3 linked regions of the Schizosaccharomyces pombe genome follow. Changing the gene in region 3 together with the main gene of any one other region gives a genetic interaction. Each region holds a gene or a part of one and is shown on either strand. Other genes may lie near its edges. The genes, in order: lsd2, ppc1 and sir2.

Region 1 (8,141 bases), on a different chromosome or scaffold from region 3:
CCTCAAACTCCCATTTCCATGTCACCCCCCATTCCACCTACTCCTTCTCAGTTTTCTGCTTTTATGTATCAAAATCAGCAGTCATACCTCAGTCCTCAGTCACATTATGAGAATCCTCTTTCCATATCGTCACGTCCATCGCCTTGCTGCCCTAGTACGCCTAGTAGCGCTGTAACCCTATCCAACGGTTTTGACTCGCAATCCAATGCTTATAATAATTCGGGTACCGGTCCTCCGATGCTTTATAAATTCCCTCAGCGTTCTTACACTGCCCCGAATACCTCTTTCAATTCTCAACGTCGAATGTCAAGCATTACCTCACTTCCGACTGCCTCGTTTTGTCCTGTTAAACACGGCGTTTCACCTCCATCTTTGGCAGGAAATCAACCTAGTCCTTTATCTTCTCCACTCACCAATTCTAATGTTTCTCCTTCTACCATTTGTTCACCAGACAACAACGTCACCTTTGTCAATTTAGCACCTGGTGAGAAGTTGACCTTTAAGATTGAACCAAACGACCTTATGGATGAAGAAGAGGTGGTTGAGAATTCCAATATGTACAGTATTCCTGGTAAGACTGTTGCTACAACAGTTTGTCATTCGTCATCTTCTTCCGGTGACTTTTCAGCTCTTTCATGTCATAGAAATCTATCATTTTCTGAAAGCTTGCCTACTGCTGAAGATCAAGTTCATAATAATCACTGTGCCGTATCGCCTTCCAGAAGAAGTTCATCCAATGCTCTGTATCTAGCTACTTTGCCAATGGGTTATGAACGATCTAATTCCGTATCATACTGTTCAGATTCAAGTCTTAGCTCCCCTTTGCCTGACGACAATATGCTACAAGATCCACACGCTTTGAACATGGCGTATGCTAAAGAATTCGATGTTCTTATCAATGAAGTCTTACAGTCTCTTTAATTATTTATAACAGACTTCCTGAATTACGAGTCTTTATAACAACCACTTTTTTTTTGACAATTGAGATGCCATCTCCTATTAACTTTTGGATAATGCTTTTAATTATACATGTCCAAATATGGACTGGAGTCAATAACTCGGCATTTTTATATTATTTTATTTTAATATCATATGCATCTTATGTTTTTTTTTTAACTATTTCGTTGTAGTACTTGCTTTGAGATACATAGTGTCCATGGTGTCTGCAACAAATACAACCGCATCTGTTTTGGCTTAATTTAATGATTCTTAGTTAATTTTAATTACTTTTTTTCTAATAACTTATTTTTTTATTTATTTCACAAGCGTACTAGTAATATCATTTGTTGCTTGAATATTATGTTAATGGCAAAATGGTAACATGCATTACATCCTAAAGAGTGAGAGTAGTAGCTGTGTTTACGATATCATCTTTTATCTCTTACATCTTCGGCATTAAATCAGGTTGGCTACTGGCTAACGAGAAGTGTACATGTATTTTAGATTTTCCTTAAACAATTTGCTGAAATTAGCAATTTGATAAAATGCTTCATTTAGGGCATGACGAGAATATATATGTACATAAAATTTTAAGGGTATTTGTAATGATGCGAAGTAACTAAACTTTTAAAAAACAATATGTGATTTGATTTTTTTTCTTTTAATATCGTGTTCCATTATAACCCGAATCAGAAGATCCATCGTCATGATACTCTTCGTCGCTAGCCTCTCGACTTTTGGAAATGTTGTCATCCTGAGTTTGTTTTCTTTGCTCTTCTTCTCGTTGAGCTTGCATAAACAATCTTGCTTCATCATCGGGAATAGGTTCATCTTGGCATTTGGCCGCATAATCATTTCGTATTTGCTCGGCTCTCATTTCATATTCTTTAGTTAGGCGCTGATAACGAAGAATTTTTCCAGCATAAGCTTCTCTTTGTGCTGCAATTTCATCAATCCAAGGTTTTTTACCTAAATCATCAAGCTGGCGCCAAGTTTTCCCTAGTTTGGCACGTGTTTCATTAATAGTAGCCTTCGCTGTACTATCTCCTGTTAACCTTCGCTTGTCTTCATCAGCAAGTGCACGGCATACATGCCACTGCATTTTTTGGTAAAGTAAAAAGGGATTTGCATTCGGCTTGGAAGGAGGTTCAGGTAAATAACCAAGAAGTTCAGTTACAAGCTGTTCCTGTTCTTCCTTATGCTCGTCAAGTCTTTCCTGCTTTTTCAACCTATATCTTGCCTGATAAGAAAGGTGACGCTGTGCTTCAGCATTGGGATCAAAATTATTAACTTTAGAGTTTCGCAAAAACTGATCCAATTCTTTGCGAGAGGTTTCTCCAATGATAGGTATGGTTAAGGAAATTGGAGCCAATGAATCAATAATCCCTGTACATACGGAAAGGCCAGATAAAAAGGATCTTTGTAATGTCCTACAGCCTACGCAACTGAATATATAGTCTCCAGCAATATGCAAGCGACCCAAATTATACGATAACTGACTTTGCCTAAATCTTTTTTCATATTGCTGCTTATCATTGGCAAAATTTGGATAAGAATTTAAGCCGTCATAGACACCATTTCTCGACCAGTTTGTGACCCAAGCATCTAATAAATCAGCTGAGCTGTTTGAATCATTTTGAAAATGATCTACTATTAGACTGTGTAATTCTTGAATTAAGTGGGAGGTCTCGTTAGAAGAAGAACTTGTCATTTGTGGATTGATATCCGCTACTAATATTGGGACACCAGTTTCAGGAAGCATATTCCATATTCTCAAAACAAAACAAGATTTACCATCATTCTCATCATTGTTCATTTCTTGACTTAATGATTTTGGTATAATACCAAATGATCTAATGTTCTTTCGCCAAAAAGCAGCTGCATAACGAAGAATAACCTGCTCAATGTTAACTTTATAATTGAAAAAAAAATAAATAAATAAAAACCTACCTTTTTTCCGGGTTTGAAATCTATACTTTTTATGTTTTCAGTCACGAAATTAGGAAGACCTGGTGAAAACTCTATATTTGAAGAAAAATGAGAAGGAGAGCAAGCAATTACAACTTGGTCAACCTCATAAGAAGAGTTGTCCTTACAATCAAGGGTACATTTATCATTTTCAATAGTTACCTTAGATACAAACTTCTCATAATGAATATTTAAGGGAGATGGATAAGATTGTAATGCCCATGGCAGTTGAGATAGACCTCTTCTAGCAACTTTTGGAATCAAAATATCTTTGGAGAAGTCTGTATCAACTGTGTTAAGAGGGTACAAAGTATCGTCCAATTCCGCGACCTTAAAACACCATATCAGAAATTTCTTTTGACTGTTCCCGAGTTTGGCATAAGAAGAAACTTCATCAATTAGTATTAGCATTGTTTTTTTGAAGGAAAATTCATGTGACGCATTTAATGAGAGTGATTTGGACAAATGATCAGGGAACATTTCATCTATAAACAACTGAAATTGGGATATCCAAGAAATACGAACAGATTCCTCAACGTTAATAAAAAAGCAAACAGAAACATATTCCAAAAGTTTTTCCCATAAAATGTTTAATTTTTTCACCTCAACCATGTCTAATACTTTAGTATCGGTCTCATCGTAAACTAAATCTGAGCCAGTCATCTCTGTAACTTCAATACCCAATTGTTTATTTAAAAGGTTAAGCAAAATATCGTCCATAGGCGAAAATAAAAATTGAAATCCCAAATCAATTGCTGAAGGAATATGGGACGGGTCAGTAACATCCTTGGGGTTTAAAGAAGTGGAATTACTAGAAATAGAATTCGAATTAGATGTATGATGGTTAATTTGGGTAGCCGAAGTATGAGAAACAGGCAATGCTCGAGAGTAAATACGACCTCCTGTCCTTTCTTTAGCTTCAAGTATAATAACTTTAGGAGGAAGCTCATTCTTTGACAAAAAAGATGAAGAATACTGAGAAAATAAGCCAGTAAGTTGTCTAGCACATATCAAACCAGTAAGACCAGCGCCTACTACAGCAATAGTCTTCTGCTTCGATGCAGAACTGGATGTTGTGCCAGTATTAGTTTCATTCGTAAAGGATGAATCAAAGGACAAGCATCCATAGTTTATATATCCATACCTTACAAGGAATTCATAAGCTAAAGAGGCTAATTGGAACAAACATCGATCGACACATACGCCCTGAGCTTCAACTCTGGATATGGCATGCGTAGGATTTTTAATCCAAAGCCAACAAATGCTGTTACGAATTTGGAAATAATGAAATAATACAACGGGATCGTGTAAACGATCAGAAAGCATGTGTTGTTCAAAACTTTCTAAGGCCCTCGGATCGAGATTGCATTTACGAGCTGCTTCAGCGGCATGCTCAAAAAACGACTTTAAAGAAGATGTAGGGATACTGGCTCCTGCAGATGGTATAGTATGAGATGATGATTGACTAGACCATTGTAGCAGTACTCTAGACGGCTCAATTGCAACAGAACCTTCAGGCCTAGCACCTAACTCTGAATCAAAAAGTGCAGGACTACTAATATTACCAGATGTAGCAGCTGAAGACATTAAAGGGAAAGATGAAGCAGGAGGCGATACAACTGCCGGTGCAGTAGTAGGTGGTATTGGCAAAACTGCGTTATCAACACTTTTAGATAATTCTGTTGCTGATACCAACTGTGTAGGCATAAAACTTTCATGATTGCGGAATGTAGATGGGGTAACTCCATGAGAAACTTGATCCCGATACATCGACAAAAGTTGCTGAGAAGATAAATGAGAAGCGTCTAATGGATACGGATAATTGGAAAAGGCATTTGAGTTTTGGTGTTGAATGGGGCCTGCATGAATTGCCGTTGAACCATCTCCACTGGAAGAAAGCGGGTTTTGTGATCGTGAAGGATATGTAGATGGAAATTGCTGAGAAGACGGAGAGTTTGCATCAAAAAAGTTTTCGTATGTGGATGACTTTTGTTGAGGAAAAGAGGAACCTACAGTTGGAGGTAATCCAATTGTTCTCATTCCAGACTGCTGAGCGACACCTGCATTTGAATTGCCTAAAAGATGCTGAGGAAATGGTTGATTAGCCGCTTGCGAAATTGTGTAAGGGTGAAAAGAGGAATCATATCTAGAAGGTAAAAATGCTGGATTATAGTTTCCCCATTGATTGTTCAGTGAGCTAACTGGCTGTGAATTTAAGCCGCCATCTGTACGATAAGTTGACCTTGAATACGCGTTCTGATTAACAGAATTAGGTGTGATAGACTGTAATCCACCTCCTAAAATAGCTAAAAGCGCTTGTTCACTACTCACCAATTGAGGTTGAGTTGAATTAACGTTGTTGGCGTTAGCATATGATGAAGCCCGGTCAGAATGATGCTCTGTCATTTCTGGAAAGTCATAATGACCATCTGGATCATTCTCGCTCGTGTTCATAGAGTAAAAAGATACAATCAAAGTGAACCGAGGTGGTAAAATCTCATTGAATCTCGATTTGGTGTTTACAAAGTACTTTGCGCAACATATCCTTAACGATTCGTTAAAAAAATATCGTTCTAAATATTATAGCATAATGGGATAACGACAAATATTATAAGCATTTTTATGTCAAGTCCAATCAATCATCTATCAGACTATCCAGAATTTATATTTTTCTTTTAGATAATACATGTGTCTTTAATTATTTGAATACCATGAAGAACGCCCGAGAGGCATTCAATTGCCTATTTATCTGATTCATATTGCGAGTATTATTCTACGATCGCATTTGCTCTCTTCTACAGGCTTAACACTTTGGAAATGATGAACGAAAAATGTGAAGTTCATTAATTTGTATTCATTTTCCAAATTATTGCATTAATGTGTTAGCTCTTTCATGCTAAAGACTACTACCTAAACTCGTTGATTTCAACTTGCAGAAAACAATATTACAATACACTTGAAAGTATAGTCAGCGGAGAATAGAACAAATGGAGTAAATTATTATAACAATCCAAAAATATGTTACATTGCTGTTAAGATTCAGAAAAGCTTAGGATGTTTAGAGTAGTAGTGTAGATTAACTGTTTATCAATATTATACTAAAACATCTCATTATGGTTCAAGTTCGCTATTGTTGAATTTTACAAAAAGTCTAGTCCCGCCGGGGATCGAACCCGGGACCTTCTCCGTGTGAAGGAGAAATCATACCACTAGAACACGGGACTGTTGGTTGTTAACAGAAAAACTAAATGATATATATCATAATTACATTATTATTGATTTAAATAGATTAAATAATGAATAGCGAAGTTATTTGAGCTGAAAATTAAGTGTAAGTTTTTTATATATGTGCTGTAATGAACAATTAAAATTTCAGCCTAATCATATAGTTTTAAAAGTCAAGCAATGACTTTTTGCGAATGAACTAATTAACCATGGATACTGCTTTTTACAAGCAACTCCATTTTCCGTTTTAAATAGTTGTATACAAATGTTTTTTCCCCCGAAAAATTGTAAAAATATATTAATGAATTGACAATTTCCAAATGAGTTTGCACTCGGGCAGTTTAAATATATTTAATATATTAACTATCTACATACCATATAAATCCGGTAGTATTATTTTTTCTCAATATCTGCTTTTTCGATGCGTATTAATATCATAAAAAATGCTCCACATAGGATTTCATTAAAAACATATATGTTAACTCTAAATTTAACGGTAAATCGCTAAGGACTGAATATTATTTTCCAGCTCTTAACGAATATAACACCGCAGACGGACTTGGCCAATACCAAAACTAACGCAAAACAAAAGACCAATAAGAATCATGTGAAGTATTTTACCCTAAACTCATAGTATACAATGTCATGCTTGTAAGTAATAGACAGCTAAACGGGATAATATCTAATTTGTTTACCATAAATAAATATGCCGCACGACAAACATGCCAATCAAGTTTATGTTTGAAGAGCTCCAGATGCAACAACAGCAGGGGTTGAGGATTTAATATGTTCAGAAGCCATATTTTCATTGTCAGAGGACCTCAGCCATTCATCTATTTGTTGAATGTGCTGATTTAAATTGTGCAACTCCTGAATCATTAAATCATGCTGAGAACGCAATTGCGAAAGAACATTCAAAGCATAATTGCGTTTATCTACATTTGATCCCTGAACTTCAGGAGGAAACTGCAAAGAAACCGGCGAGGTAGAGGATTGGATTAAAGGAGCTTGCTGAGATTGCGAAGGTGAAACTTCTGATTTCGGTCCATTTGACATTGATGGCTGCTTGTCGGAATTTGAGGGTGGCTCTTCGGGGTTAAGTAAGGAAGCAATTCCTTCAGCAATCCTTGGCTTTGCAGAAGTTCGAGGAGGCAAACAGACTGACTCGCCAACAGGAAGGATAGGAGGTAAATGAAACTTCATGCCTAAGGGGTTGGATTGGTTGGCAGTTGCAACGCCATTATTATCCGTGTTCGATGTTGTAGATTCCGATAATTGCTTACTAGAATCATTGCCAACTGCTACAAGCTGACCAGGGTATACTACTTGATTAGCTCGTATACCATTGGGAACATACTCATTTTGGTAAGGAGGCAATCCTTCATGCTTGTTCTCAGGAAGAGGCAATATTGATTGTTCCTGAGTAGGACCATATGAGTAATAAACTTTCCCATTATTATCAGGTTCACCAGCCGCTAACCGTGACAATGTCATCAATGGTGAAGGATTGAACGAAGAAGGCAAGAACCCGGTAAAATTGCTGTTGTATGAAGGAAATGTACTAGCCGGAGGTAATACTCCAGTATTCATTCCATGCTCAGCCAGACCTTCACCAGAATTTCCAGAAGCATGGCCATTACCATTGGGAAAAGATTTAGAAAAAGGACCATCCCTTGTAGACTGTTGCTTAACGGAAGATCCGGAATCCCCACTTGACATTCTTTTTAAGTTGTGTTGCGACTCATTCGCATTACCGTTAAAAACCAGCCTTTTTCGACGTTTAATGATTGCCTTCTTCATGGTAACGGGACGATGTACCCCATGAATTTTGTAATACAAACCACAAGCATTACAGATCGGATTACCCGACTCGTCGCGGCGCCACAAAGGAGTATTTGTGGTAGCACAGTTTTGGCAAAAAGTAACACTTGGTTCATGAGGAGGAGATGAGTCTTCATGCTGGTTATGACTAGAACGTCGTCTACTAGTGCCATTGCTAGTTTCAGTCG
Region 2 (5,605 bases), on a different chromosome or scaffold from region 3:
AAAGGCTAGTTAAATCAATAAATACGAATAAACATTTCAGCTGCAAGCATAAAAAAATTAAAAAAAGGCAAACCATGCAAATTATTTTTTGGAGCTTTAATATTCATCACATTTAAATAAACAAGGGGTCTTGCTTTAATTGGTCCGGGAAAAAATAAGCGACCTTATCAACTATATGTTTTTTTTGTTTATTTGTTTATTGAAGATTTAACAATATGCTTCAAGATAACCGTGGCGAACATAGCAAACGACTGAGACGATTGAACTTTGAGTGTTTTAATTTTGCCGTGACTTTAGTAAGCAATCGCGCATTTGCAATTCATTATTAAAAAGCATTTTGGGAATTAAAAAAGTGATTGTGATCACACTGTGAATTCCTGTTCTTTACAGAAAAAGATTGAAAAAAGTCATTGATGAATCATGATGCAAAACTTATAAACTAATTTATGGAAAAACTAATCGCTTCTATTTCTTACCTTGAACATTCACGATCTTTAAAATTTGTTGAATAATAAAGTGGTAAAGATAATCAGGTGGTTTAAGAGGAAGTTATAAGTATTTTTTTTTAACAGCTTGTGAATGATGTAATTGTTATCGACTTCCCAAGATTCTGCTACAAACGTTAGGCTTTTTTGGGATTTAATAAGAAACTTAGATGCTCGGTCACCTACTTGAGCAATTGCACGTTCAAAATCGTCAAGGTGAATACAGTTTTCCTAAATTTCGTTCTTAATGCAGCATCCTTAATAAACAAAATACGCTTGATCCAGAAAACCATTCTATCCAACGTAATTTAGAGCGATATCCCTTGATGCGGAATAATTTCCTTTTTAGCTTAAGAACCACGATTAATGAATGGTGCAATTCATCCAGAATGGAATCTTATGATTAACCGTCTTAACATGTCTCAATAGGAAGCAGAGGAACTGGATTATAAGTCATAGGTCAGTTTTATCGTAAAAACGTTTGCAGCTTTGTTCTATAGTTTTTTCCAGTTTTGTATAAAGAATTCTTTACATAAACTTGTGTTGTTTTACAAAAAGTGTCACAAACCGGGATCGAACCGATGACCAACAGATCTTCAGTCTGTCATGCTCCCAACTACACCATTGCGACTTCATATACATTAAAAACTACTAAAATATTTATAAAGAAAATTATTTACCAATGTCTGTAAAAGCCATAATAGCCTTTTTAAATATTTGTTTTATCCTCGACATTTTCGAGCTGCCAACCTTTGCATTCTGATTCTCTAACAGTTTTAAAAGTAATTGAAATCTCATAGGTTTTTCATTGAACTATATAACAATCGCCGTTGTTTGTGTACGTGAGCTTGCAATTAAACATGAGCATTTTAGTCATGGGGTTTGAAGCGACTCATAAGAAGTATGGGATCTCAAAAAGAACTGAAGGCTTTAGAAACAATCATATACGCTTACTACTTACAGGTACTCACTATTTATTTTTTGTTCATTCAAGATAACTGTTGCGCATTTTAAATTCAAGTCTTTGCTTTCTATATACTCCTGACATTGATTTTTATAAACTAATCATCATTTTTAATATATTCTTTAACACACTTCAGACCTGAGTAATCTACAACAGTAATAAGTATCTAAAAAAAAAGCTGCAATTTTTAAAAAATTACAACAGATCCAATAGTACACGATTCAATTCATAGCTCGTATTAGCAATTTATAAAGCCTTTCATTTTTTTCGTAAACCCCTCTACAAATGCTATAAAGCAACTTCGTAAAATAACAAGACGAAAATGATAGAGAAATAAAAAAGTACCACTGGTGTTTGCATAATAAACCCTAACAATATAAATGAGTAAAATGTTTAAAAGAAAAACCGATAGTTCATATAAGTTAAAGCAGATAAGAAACATAACTAGTACTTTTTATAAGTTCATAATCGACTAATCGTCAATAAACATAATTTAAGGTGCCTTTGCGAACTCTTGAATTCGTTCCTTGTGCAACGAAATTGCCCTCGAAACAATGTATTGCTCGATTTCTACCTTTTTTACAATGTCATCGTCGCTCAAATGAAGCCATTCAACCGTTTTTGAGGTTACAAACGCGACAGATCGTTTCCTTGTTGAAAGAAGGTTGGCGATCACCAGCTGGTGGTTATAACGTTGTAAAGCTACTCTTGCTTTATCAATCAGAATACTAGGGTCGGTTTCTAATTTAAAGGAAATAATAGAAGCTTCAGGAGCCCATGTGTCAACCAAGAAACGCAGAAATTTTGGAACCGGATGCATTTTGACTTCTAATTTGTTACTTCCAGAACCACTTTGAATTTTGTGCTCGCTCAATTCCTTCGGTGGAATATGGAAATCACTAACAGCAGCTGCTAAATAAAACAATGCTCTTGAAGCGATTATCTGTAAACGTTCAGCTATAGCTTTCAGGTACCACAAATATTCTGTGAGTGTAGTATAAGGAATCATTATCAGTCGATGATGTTTCGTATATGTATCTAATTCGTTGAGTGCATTGAATACTGTCGATTGAAACTCTTGTTTGACAATCCAAGGCTTCTCCTGACTGCCATTACTTCTTTCAAACAAATTTGTCCAGGGACCTTCATATCGTCGAGTAAATGGCATTAAACTATAATTTCTATACAGAAAAATGACCGAATATCCAGACTTGCAAAAGTATTCAGCAGATGCTGCACCACGATTTCCTGCACTAAAGTTATCGATAAAACGCACCGTATTTTGCTCAAGAGGCACAAGTGTGCCGCCACTAGTAACAAATGCAATGTTTTGGGAGTTTGATTGAAGGTTTATAAAATCTTCAATCAGACTTGAGACATCACCGAGTGAGTTAGGACAAGGATTCTCCTCAAAGAAATCGTTAGATTTATCCATTTCTGGCATATATTCTAAATAGCTAAGAGTATCGCAACCCAGAAATGCCTCTCTTACGATGAGCTCAAAAATAAACAAACGACGTTTAAAAAACTGTATGCGTTATTGCTGAATGATAGGACTAGAGAACTCACAAAATCTGAAATGCTAACCAAACAGTTCTCTAGCAGCTTGTAAATTCAGCAAGTAGTGGTCTGTTTATTGAACAATGTAGACGATAGCGACACCACAAACGACTGAAACGCGACACTTTGTGATTGTATTACACTTAAGGCCTTTTTTTTTTATTCAACTCGTGCTTGTCTTTTATGAAAAGCTAAAATTAAAATAAATTTTAAGTTTGTGTTTTAATCAACTTAAGACTAAAAATTTTCATTTATTTGCGCTCTGTTGGGTAACGTGGTTTAGTTACCAACATTTTACTGATTATCTAAAATGAATAAATCTCCAATTGAAGAGGAATTTGATCTTCGGAAACAGCACCAAAAGCTATTAAAAAAAAATTGCCAGAAAGAAATTGAAGATTTTGTGAAATGCGCTACTGGCAGGACTTTTAGCGTAACCTGGAAATGTAGAAGTGAAAATAAAACGATGAAGGATTGTTTAACCAAAGCGTAAGAAACTTATTCATCAATCATGTATAAAAAAGGATATGTAACTAATATGGAATATGCAGCGCAGACGAAATATCGGAGTGGCAGATCAGGTCGGAATACAATAAAGCTAAACAAGAAAGCTTTATCGGAAAGCAAGACGAAAAGAAGTAGCTAATTAATGCATCGATAATATCGGTATTAACTGCTATTAAAATACTAGTTCCAATACAACATAATGCTACGATTTCAATTAAATTGACAAACATTCTCTACTATAAAATATTTCAAAAGCTCCTCATTACTTTTCAATTTAACGTAATGGTAAAAGCTTTCAAAGTAATTATTTACAAAAAAGATTCATGGTTTTGCATAATAAACATGACCGTTCGTCAATTTATTAATCATTAGAGTAGCAATCATTTATTAATCAAATATTTGTTTGTGCACTTTCTTCAGGTGGGACGAAGTGTACTCCCTTCCCATTGATAAAGTCATCGGTTGATAAACATGACAGGCGATAAACATTGAGGCGAATAAATTTAACAATAGTCTCAAGAATTACTAAGTCGACGTCTGGGCGACCAACGAAAAGGTTACGCCAAACGGATGTAGCCAAAACAGCATCACTTCCCAGCATTCCTTGATCATAACCAAAAATGGCGCCGGTCTGTTGCTGAAACAGATCTTTCAGATACATACCAGAAATTCGATTGCTATTAATGCGGTAATCTTTATGAATTCTGAGTTCCATGTCTTCAAAGAAACGAGTAGTTAATGCCTGTGAAAAGGCAACTTTTTCATTTTTTGGCAAACCACGAATGCGAGTATGGAGGATCCACAAATGTAATTGCGTTATTTGAAACCAAGACTGAAATGTCATAGGAATTTCACACTTCTGGTACCAAAATTCAAAAGCACCTAGCGAGTTTTTTTCGGGGGTAGCTTGTCGAGCAGCCTCAAAATACATGTATCTTGCAGTACCAGTAGCCTCATAATATAAATTTTGTTTAGGAGAGATATATTTTTGATAAATAAGACTTATTTTCTTTAGAAAACTATTTGGCGGAGCCACTTTACGTGGATCTTGAGGAGGTGTAAGGGGTTTGTATCTGAGTTCTTCTACTGGGTCTCTTCTCTTCGTTTCCGAAGGTGAATGATTAATAACATTTATTGGAGAAAATGAAAATCTTCTTCTTAAGGGACCGTATATACTCTTCCCCCATACCGGCTGCTTAACAAATGCTGGTCTCAATGGCAAATTTAAACAGCAGCGACTCATTACTGAATGACGATAAGGATCTTTTGATAATCTTTTCTTAATTAATAAAATTAATTATTACCTGCAAATAAATACGTAGGAGTTGGGTTGAAATAAAAAACGGATCGATTAATGTCGTACAATATAAAGGGGAAGAGAGGTTGTGACAGGTTGATTGCCAAATACAATGTTATAACGAACGATCAATATTACGAGGCCATCATTCTTCCTAATTAAGTATACTCTAAAATTTACTGGACCATTTTAAATTTGTTTGCAGTTTCAGTAGTATATCTTCGCCGTTTAATCGTACCAAAGATTGTATCTATTTATTTTGCTTTCTCAATTAGAAAACCTAAATTAATAACCTCTTAGTTGAAAATGATTATAAATATTACCATGAACTAAACGTAATAAACTTGTAAATTGCTTCAACACTCATTCGTTGACAAAAGTTCTAAATTCTCATGTCTGCCATTAGCGAATCATTTTAGCATCAAAAATTCAATTTATAGATTTTATGGTCAACGGTATCAAGGCGCTCACTTAACCAATTGTTATCATCTAGCAATGCAGCTTTGTCTCCCCCCACAGGTATTTGTTTAATAATTTTGTCGTAAGTAGCTTGCTTTTTACGGCAGTCCTTCAAGAGAAAATCATTCAACAAATCAATATATATCCTCGTCTCATTCAATCGAACATTTACCTTGTCTAAACGTACGACAAGGCGTGCTAACAATATTAAATGACCCTGAACAACTCGAGCTCTCACATCAAACATTGATTTTCCATTATCTGCTAACTCATCTTCGAAAAGAATTATCTCATTGAACCATAAATTTTGTCCTGCGTTAAGTATTTTTTGAA
Region 3 (6,642 bases):
ATAATTGACGATGATGTCCCCGCTAATCTTTCGAATTGTAAGCTTCTCAGCCTGGACGTCGGAAGCTTAGTTGCCGGCTCCAAATTTCGTGGTGAATTTGAAGAGCGTATCAAATCTGTTTTAAAAGAAGTTGAAGAAAGTGAAACTCCCATTATTTTATTCGTAGATGAAATGCATCTTTTAATGGGCGCAGGTTCCGGTGGTGAAGGTGGCATGGACGCTGCCAATTTGCTGAAGCCAATGCTTGCACGTGGTAAGCTTCACTGTATTGGTGCTACTACTTTGGCTGAATACAAGAAATACATCGAAAAAGATGCTGCTTTCGAACGTAGATTCCAAATCATCTTGGTAAAAGAGCCTTCTATTGAAGATACGATTTCTATCCTTCGTGGTCTTAAAGAAAAGTATGAGGTTCATCATGGTGTTACTATCTCTGACCGTGCCTTGGTTACTGCTGCCCATCTCGCTTCCCGGTACCTAACTTCTCGTCGTCTTCCAGATTCTGCCATCGACTTGGTCGATGAAGCTGCGGCTGCAGTTCGTGTTACTCGTGAATCTCAGCCCGAAGTTCTTGATAACCTTGAGAGAAAGCTTCGACAACTCCGCGTTGAAATTCGTGCTTTAGAGCGTGAGAAGGACGAAGCTTCCAAAGAACGTCTCAAGGCTGCTCGTAAAGAGGCTGAACAAGTGGAAGAAGAAACAAGACCTATTCGTGAGAAGTATGAATTAGAAAAGTCTCGTGGAAGTGAACTTCAAGATGCTAAGCGTCGTCTTGATGAGTTGAAGGCTAAGGCTGAGGATGCCGAGCGTCGTAATGATTTCACTCTTGCTGCTGATTTGAAATACTATGGTATTCCTGATTTGCAAAAACGTATTGAATATTTAGAGCAACAAAAAAGAAAGGCTGATGCAGAAGCGATTGCAAACGCTCAACCAGGCTCAGAACCTTTACTTATTGACGTAGTTGGGCCCGATCAAATCAACGAAATCGTTGCAAGGTGGACTGGTATTCCGGTTACTCGTTTGAAGACAACTGAAAAGGAACGACTCCTTAACATGGAGAAGGTTCTCAGTAAACAAGTAATTGGTCAAAATGAAGCAGTTACTGCAGTTGCAAACGCCATTCGCTTATCTCGTGCTGGTCTTTCTGATCCTAATCAACCAATCGCATCTTTCTTGTTTTGCGGTCCTTCCGGTACTGGTAAGACTTTATTGACAAAGGCATTGGCATCATTTATGTTTGATGATGAAAATGCAATGATTCGTATTGACATGTCTGAATACATGGAAAAACACTCTGTTTCACGTCTCATTGGAGCACCACCCGGTTATGTTGGACATGAAGCTGGTGGACAGCTTACTGAACAACTTCGTCGACGACCTTACTCCGTCATCTTGTTTGACGAGATTGAAAAGGCTGCTCCAGAAGTATTGACTGTACTTTTGCAGGTACTAGATGATGGACGTATCACTAGTGGCCAAGGCCAGGTTGTTGATGCCAAGAATGCTGTTATCATTATGACTTCTAACTTGGGCGCTGAATACTTGACAACAGACAATGAGTCTGATGATGGAAAGATAGATAGTACCACTCGGGAAATGGTTATGAACTCGATTCGTGGCTTCTTCCGTCCCGAATTTTTGAATCGTATCTCTTCAATCGTTATCTTTAATCGTCTGCGTCGTGTGGATATCCGCAATATTGTCGAAAATCGTATATTAGAGGTTCAGAAACGGCTTCAATCCAATCATCGCTCAATTAAAATCGAGGTTAGCGACGAAGCTAAAGACCTTCTTGGAAGCGCTGGTTATTCCCCTGCTTATGGTGCAAGACCTTTGAACCGTGTCATTCAAAATCAAGTTTTGAATCCCATGGCTGTCTTAATTTTGAATGGCCAGCTTCGCGATAAGGAGACTGCTCATGTCGTAGTCCAAAATGGCAAGATATTTGTCAAACCAAATCATGAAGCTAATGCAAACGGCTCTGCTGATATTGACATGGATGGTATTGACGACGATGTTAATGATGAAGAATTGGAATAAATGTATTTCAAATGAGAAAGTTCTAACGATACTTTATGATATAGTTTAATGATATGCTTAATCTTAATATATTTTATTTATTTATAAAAATATAGTATATAAACTTTTTAGGAAGTACTGTTTTCTCATTAAAATGTTCAATGAACTTTATCGAATAGATAGAATCAATTTAACAAAAGCTAAGTACATCGTTTTTAGTTATTAGCAATTCAAGTATGATGAAACATTGAATCTTAAATTTATCAAATAATCCATTGTTATTTACGAAAAACCTCCATTTATTTTAGTAGGTATTAATTAATGCAGTCCATTCAAGAAAGTCGAGCTTGTAAGAAAGTGCTCGTAATTCCTTATAAAATCAAAGCAGAATTAGCTCTCATACTTTTAGTAGATTTTAAATTGAATTTACATGATTAACTTTAACATTTGGTAAATCACTATCATATCATTTCATTACTTTCTACACTTGCGCATTGCATACTAATACGCATTCCAGTTCTCATGGTTCAAAGCAACGTTTAAATTAACAAGTTGTATAGTTAAACTTATACAGTGCTTTGCTTCTAATAGCCATTATTACCAGGAAATAACGAGATCACAGTTGCCCGCATACCATTAAGCTAACGAAACTTTACTGCACTAAACAAGAGACTAGCTTTTCGTAATTGTAATAAGACTTATCGAAAAGTTGAACCAGAGATCTTCAGTTCAGTAGATCATTGCCTTTCTCAAACGAAGCTTTAATTTATACTTCCTTAAAAATAATTGATTAGTCATATTTTCATGTTATACAAACTCTGTCATGGCTTCCAATCCGCTAGATAATAATATGCCGACGACTCCCGTTGAGGAAAAAATTCCAGTCGCTAGTTATTCTCCTAGCTCTTCTGGTAGTAGTTCCGGTGCTAGTTTACTAGTAGATATTATGTGCGGCAGTAAAGAAACTGAGGATGAAGAGGTTGATTCTGATGAATGGGATAAACCAGGTATGAATATCAACTATTAACTCCAATACCTTCAAGGGTACGCGCAAGTCTATTTGAATTTACAAAATTTACAATTGATCAACGATTTTGAGTTCAGGTTAGCTATGTGCTTTTCATATACTTTAGTTTATTTTAATTATTTAAAAAGTTAACGATTCCTTAGAAACAGAAAACATAAGTGATTTGGATGAACGATCCGAAATGGTCAGATATTTAAGGGCTTCAGGTAAGGAGTTACTTAATTTACATTTTAACTAGTATTTGTAGGCTATGCGAAATTCTTGGAGAAATATTTAATAGAAGAAGAGTTGCCTGTACGATCGATTTTAAAAAAACTTGGAATCAATTTGGTATGCTTACTGATTTATAACTTGCATTACATTAAATTAGCAGATTATTTTTGTTAAATTGCAATAATAATTTGGTCTACTGCATGTTTTGTTTTCTTATGACTTTACCTAGATTTATTAACGTAAATAGCCTAGTGCACTTGAAGAGTTTGAAGACATAGAGTATGCTTTTCTTTAACTTCCTTCTTATCTTTTTATCTTTTATTTTTTAAAATATCTGCTATCGATATACTAACGTGCTAATTAGTTTACTTCCTTTGCTGAAGGAAGTTTTAAAACGTGAGGTTGCTAGGAGAATCAAACTTCCACATTTTAATACCTTTGAAGATGTTGTTAATTTATTGAAAAAAGCTAAAAATGTTGTCGTCCTTGTTGGGGCAGGCATAAGTACAAGTTTGGGAATTTTAGATTTCCGTTCAGACAATGGTTTTTATGCCCGTTTGGCACGCCATGGATTATCGGAACCTTCTGAAATGTTTGATATCCATACGTTTAGAGAAAATCCAGAAATTTTTTATACTTTTGCTAGAGATCTTTTGCCGGAGACGAATCATTATTCCCCCTCGCATGCCTTCATTAGATTGCTTGAAAAGAAGAATAAATTATCAACATTGTTTACCCAAAATATAGACAATTTGGAAAAAAAGACTGGACTCTCCGATAACAAAATTATTCAATGTCATGGTAAGTATTTATTTTCCGATTTGCATCTCGAGCACTGGTGATTTTGTCTAATTTGATTATATAGGGTCTTTTGCTACCGCAACTTGTATCAAATGCAAGCACAAGGTGGATGGATCGGAGTTATATGAAGACATAAGAAATCAAAGAGTTTCTTACTGCAATGAATGCGGAAAACCACCCTTAAAATTAAGAAGAGTCGGTCAAAATAAAAAAGAGAAACATTATTTTTCAGATGGTGATAGTGAATCTTCTGAAGATGATCTAGCTCAACCTGGGATTATGAAACCTGATATCACATTTTTTGGGGAAGCCTTACCGGATTCTTTCTTTAACAAAGTCGGGAGTGGTGAGCTTGAAGAGACTGATTTATTAATTTGTATTGGAACTTCTTTAAAAGTGGCTCCTGTTTCAGAACTCATCAGTGTTATTCCTCCTACTACTCCTCAGATTTACATTTCGAGGACTCCTGTTCGTCATACCCAATTCGATGTAAATTTTCTAAGTCCTTATTGTGATTGGGTTATTGTGGAGATTTGTAAACGTGCTGGATGGCTGAATGAATTACAAGCGCTTTGCGATTTACCTGAGTGTCATAGTGGTTCCAAAACGCGAGCTTTCGAAACGGATTTGGATATAAAATTTGAGGAGCCCAGCACCTATCATATCACGAGCACAACAAACGGTAGTTGTTAATTTTAGGACTGATCGATCTATCGAAGTTGAATGTAGAAGCAAATATATTATATACATATATCGAGTATGAGAGCCAGATTATTGGACATTAACTTATTATCCGTTTGAGACTTCTTAGTTTTGTAAGTGCCATTGTTAAAAACTGTTTTTTCTCTTCGCACCTAATGTTTAAATCTGCTAAACTGGGTGAAAACACATTAAAACAAGTTATAATACATTTTACAATACCAAGGACTGTGTAATTAGTAAATGAACATTGAAGCAAATTACATTCATAGGCTATGCAAAATTAGCTACTTTTTTAAGCATAGTAAATCAGTGAAAATGACACAATTATTATTTAAAATTGAAAGATTGATTGGTACATATCAATACAACCAATGAAGCATCTAATTGTACGATACTAAAGAGAAACAACTGAAAACGGACAATTAGAAATTGGTCAACGATATTGACACTCAAACTCAAAAGAAGAAAACAGATTTAATGAAGAATATAAAATGCACGGATCATCGAAAAAGCCACCAAATCAAGCCCATTTACCTAACAAAGCCATAACTCCAGTACCAGCCATCGAGCATGCCAAAAGGTAAATAAGCTTATACCAGTTACGTTCTCTTTCAGGACTAAATAAGAAATCGTGTGCAAGTAATTCCACTAAACCAGCATAAACCAAAATTCCAGATGAGATAGCATCCAAAACACCTTGGGCAGCATAAGACCCATGAGCAAGAGGATCCCAATGCTCACGAACACCTAAACCAGCTGCCATACCAATAGGCGTAACCAACGAATAGATAACGCCCAACACCCAAGGTACCCATGCAGTTTTTGGGCCCCAGGCCATTCCCGCCAAACGAGAACCTAAACCACAACCTTCAAAGGCCTGATGGAAAATAATGACGGGAAATAAAGTTTTAAATTCTTCACCTGAGACGGCAGTTGTAAGACCGATAATAACACTATGCAAAATGATACTAGATTCAAGAATTATAAAGGCAGTAAGTTGTTGCTTTAGTAAGAAACTACGAGCTTCTTCTTTAGTAGTCAAATCGGTACTATCAGTATTCGTATAAGGTTCTAGTTTTACTTCTTCCAAGTCATCCTTTACACATTCATGCTCAACACCATCGGCACATTCTTCAATATCATAAACTGGATGTTCATGAACACCGTGAGCACCGTCTTCGTGACTATGACTGTGTTGTTTGGCACCAAGAGTTGGACCATGATGATCGCCGATTTCCATACCGAACCGCCATTCCACATAGCGATTCAAAAGGACCTCCAACAAGAGAATAAACCAACAAGAAATAAGACAAATACCTGGAGCCCAATCGTAACCTCCGAAAAGGTCGTCAAGACAAGGATCGTAAAGCTTGTTACAAGCAGGGGCTAACAAGTGAATAAAAGCAGTAGCCAAAATAACACCAGAACCAAAATAACGAGCGAATAGATAGAGATATTCAATATAAACGTTGGGTCTGTTTTTGGTGATTTTAGAAAGGACCAAAGGTAAGTTCATGCCAATTAATGAAGTAGCCAAGATAACAAAGATGGCACCAATACGATATCCCAGATGACCATATTCGTTGAATTCATTGGCATCACCTCCACAAGTCACAGTAGCAGAGCTATCATCGTCTCTTTTTACCAATGGACTATATTGCTTATTAAGAAAAAGATGTCTCAATATTTGGTGAGATTCTTGAGCAAGATATTGATTATATGAGTTAGATAAATTGTTTAAAGACATTTTAATGTACGAGAAAGATACAAGATATAACTCAACAGGGCAAAGTTTGTTTTCAACGAAAAACGTTAAAGAGAGTGAAAATGGAATAGAAATTTTTTAACAACCTCCGAGCTGAGCAGAACGAGTTAAA

Evidence for each region.
Region 1: of sir2 (region 3) and lsd2, changing one suppresses a phenotype caused by changing the other (phenotypic suppression), as found in Schizosaccharomyces pombe (one study listed by BioGRID).
Region 2: of sir2 (region 3) and ppc1, a mutation in one rescues a mutant of the other (synthetic rescue), as found in Schizosaccharomyces pombe (one study listed by BioGRID).

The regions. Positions count from the first base shown.
Region 1 is NC_003424.3:443,990-452,130, reverse strand, and holds lsd2 (putative histone demethylase SWIRM2), read right to left. Parts: upstream 5,362-8,141; coding exon 2,890-5,361; intron 2,837-2,889; coding exon 1,601-2,836; 3' UTR 1,405-1,600; downstream 1-1,404. Other genes in the region: meiosis specific arrestin family membrane adaptor Ste7, read left to right, coding at 1-921; Fe-sensing transcription factor Fep1, read right to left, coding at 6,868-8,141. UniProt on the Schizosaccharomyces pombe protein: Catalytic component of the SWM histone demethylase complex that specifically demethylates H3K9me2, a specific tag for epigenetic transcriptional activation, thereby acting as a corepressor.
Region 2 is NC_003421.2:1,141,149-1,146,753, forward strand, and holds ppc1 (phosphopantothenate-cysteine ligase), read right to left. Parts: upstream 3,086-5,605; 5' UTR 2,894-3,085; coding exon 1,943-2,893; 3' UTR 1,468-1,942; downstream 1-1,467. Other genes in the region: cytochrome c oxidase biogenesis protein cmc2, read left to right, coding at 3,320-3,498, 3,561-3,651; ubiquinol cytochrome-c reductase assembly protein Cbp3, read right to left, coding at 3,908-4,759; TIP41 type 2a phosphatase regulator Tip41, read right to left, coding at 5,235-5,605.
Region 3 is NC_003423.3:3,607,760-3,614,401, reverse strand, and holds sir2 (histone deacetylase, Sirtuin family, NAD-dependent Sir2), read left to right. Parts: upstream 1-2,715; 5' UTR 2,716-2,845; coding exon 2,846-3,029; exon of another isoform or gene 3,030-3,192; coding exon 3,193-3,255; exon of another isoform or gene 3,256-3,292; intron 3,293-3,296; coding exon 3,297-3,379; intron 3,380-3,509; coding exon 3,510-3,541; exon of another isoform or gene 3,542-3,626; coding exon 3,627-4,063; exon of another isoform or gene 4,064-4,127; coding exon 4,128-4,756; 3' UTR 4,757-5,185; downstream 5,186-6,642. Other genes in the region: heat shock protein Hsp104, read left to right, coding at 1-2,043; plasma membrane ZIP zinc transmembrane transporter Zrt1, read right to left, coding at 5,286-6,512. UniProt on the Schizosaccharomyces pombe protein: Involved in silencing within the mating-type region, at the telomeres, and according to PubMed:12867036 also within centromeric DNA regions.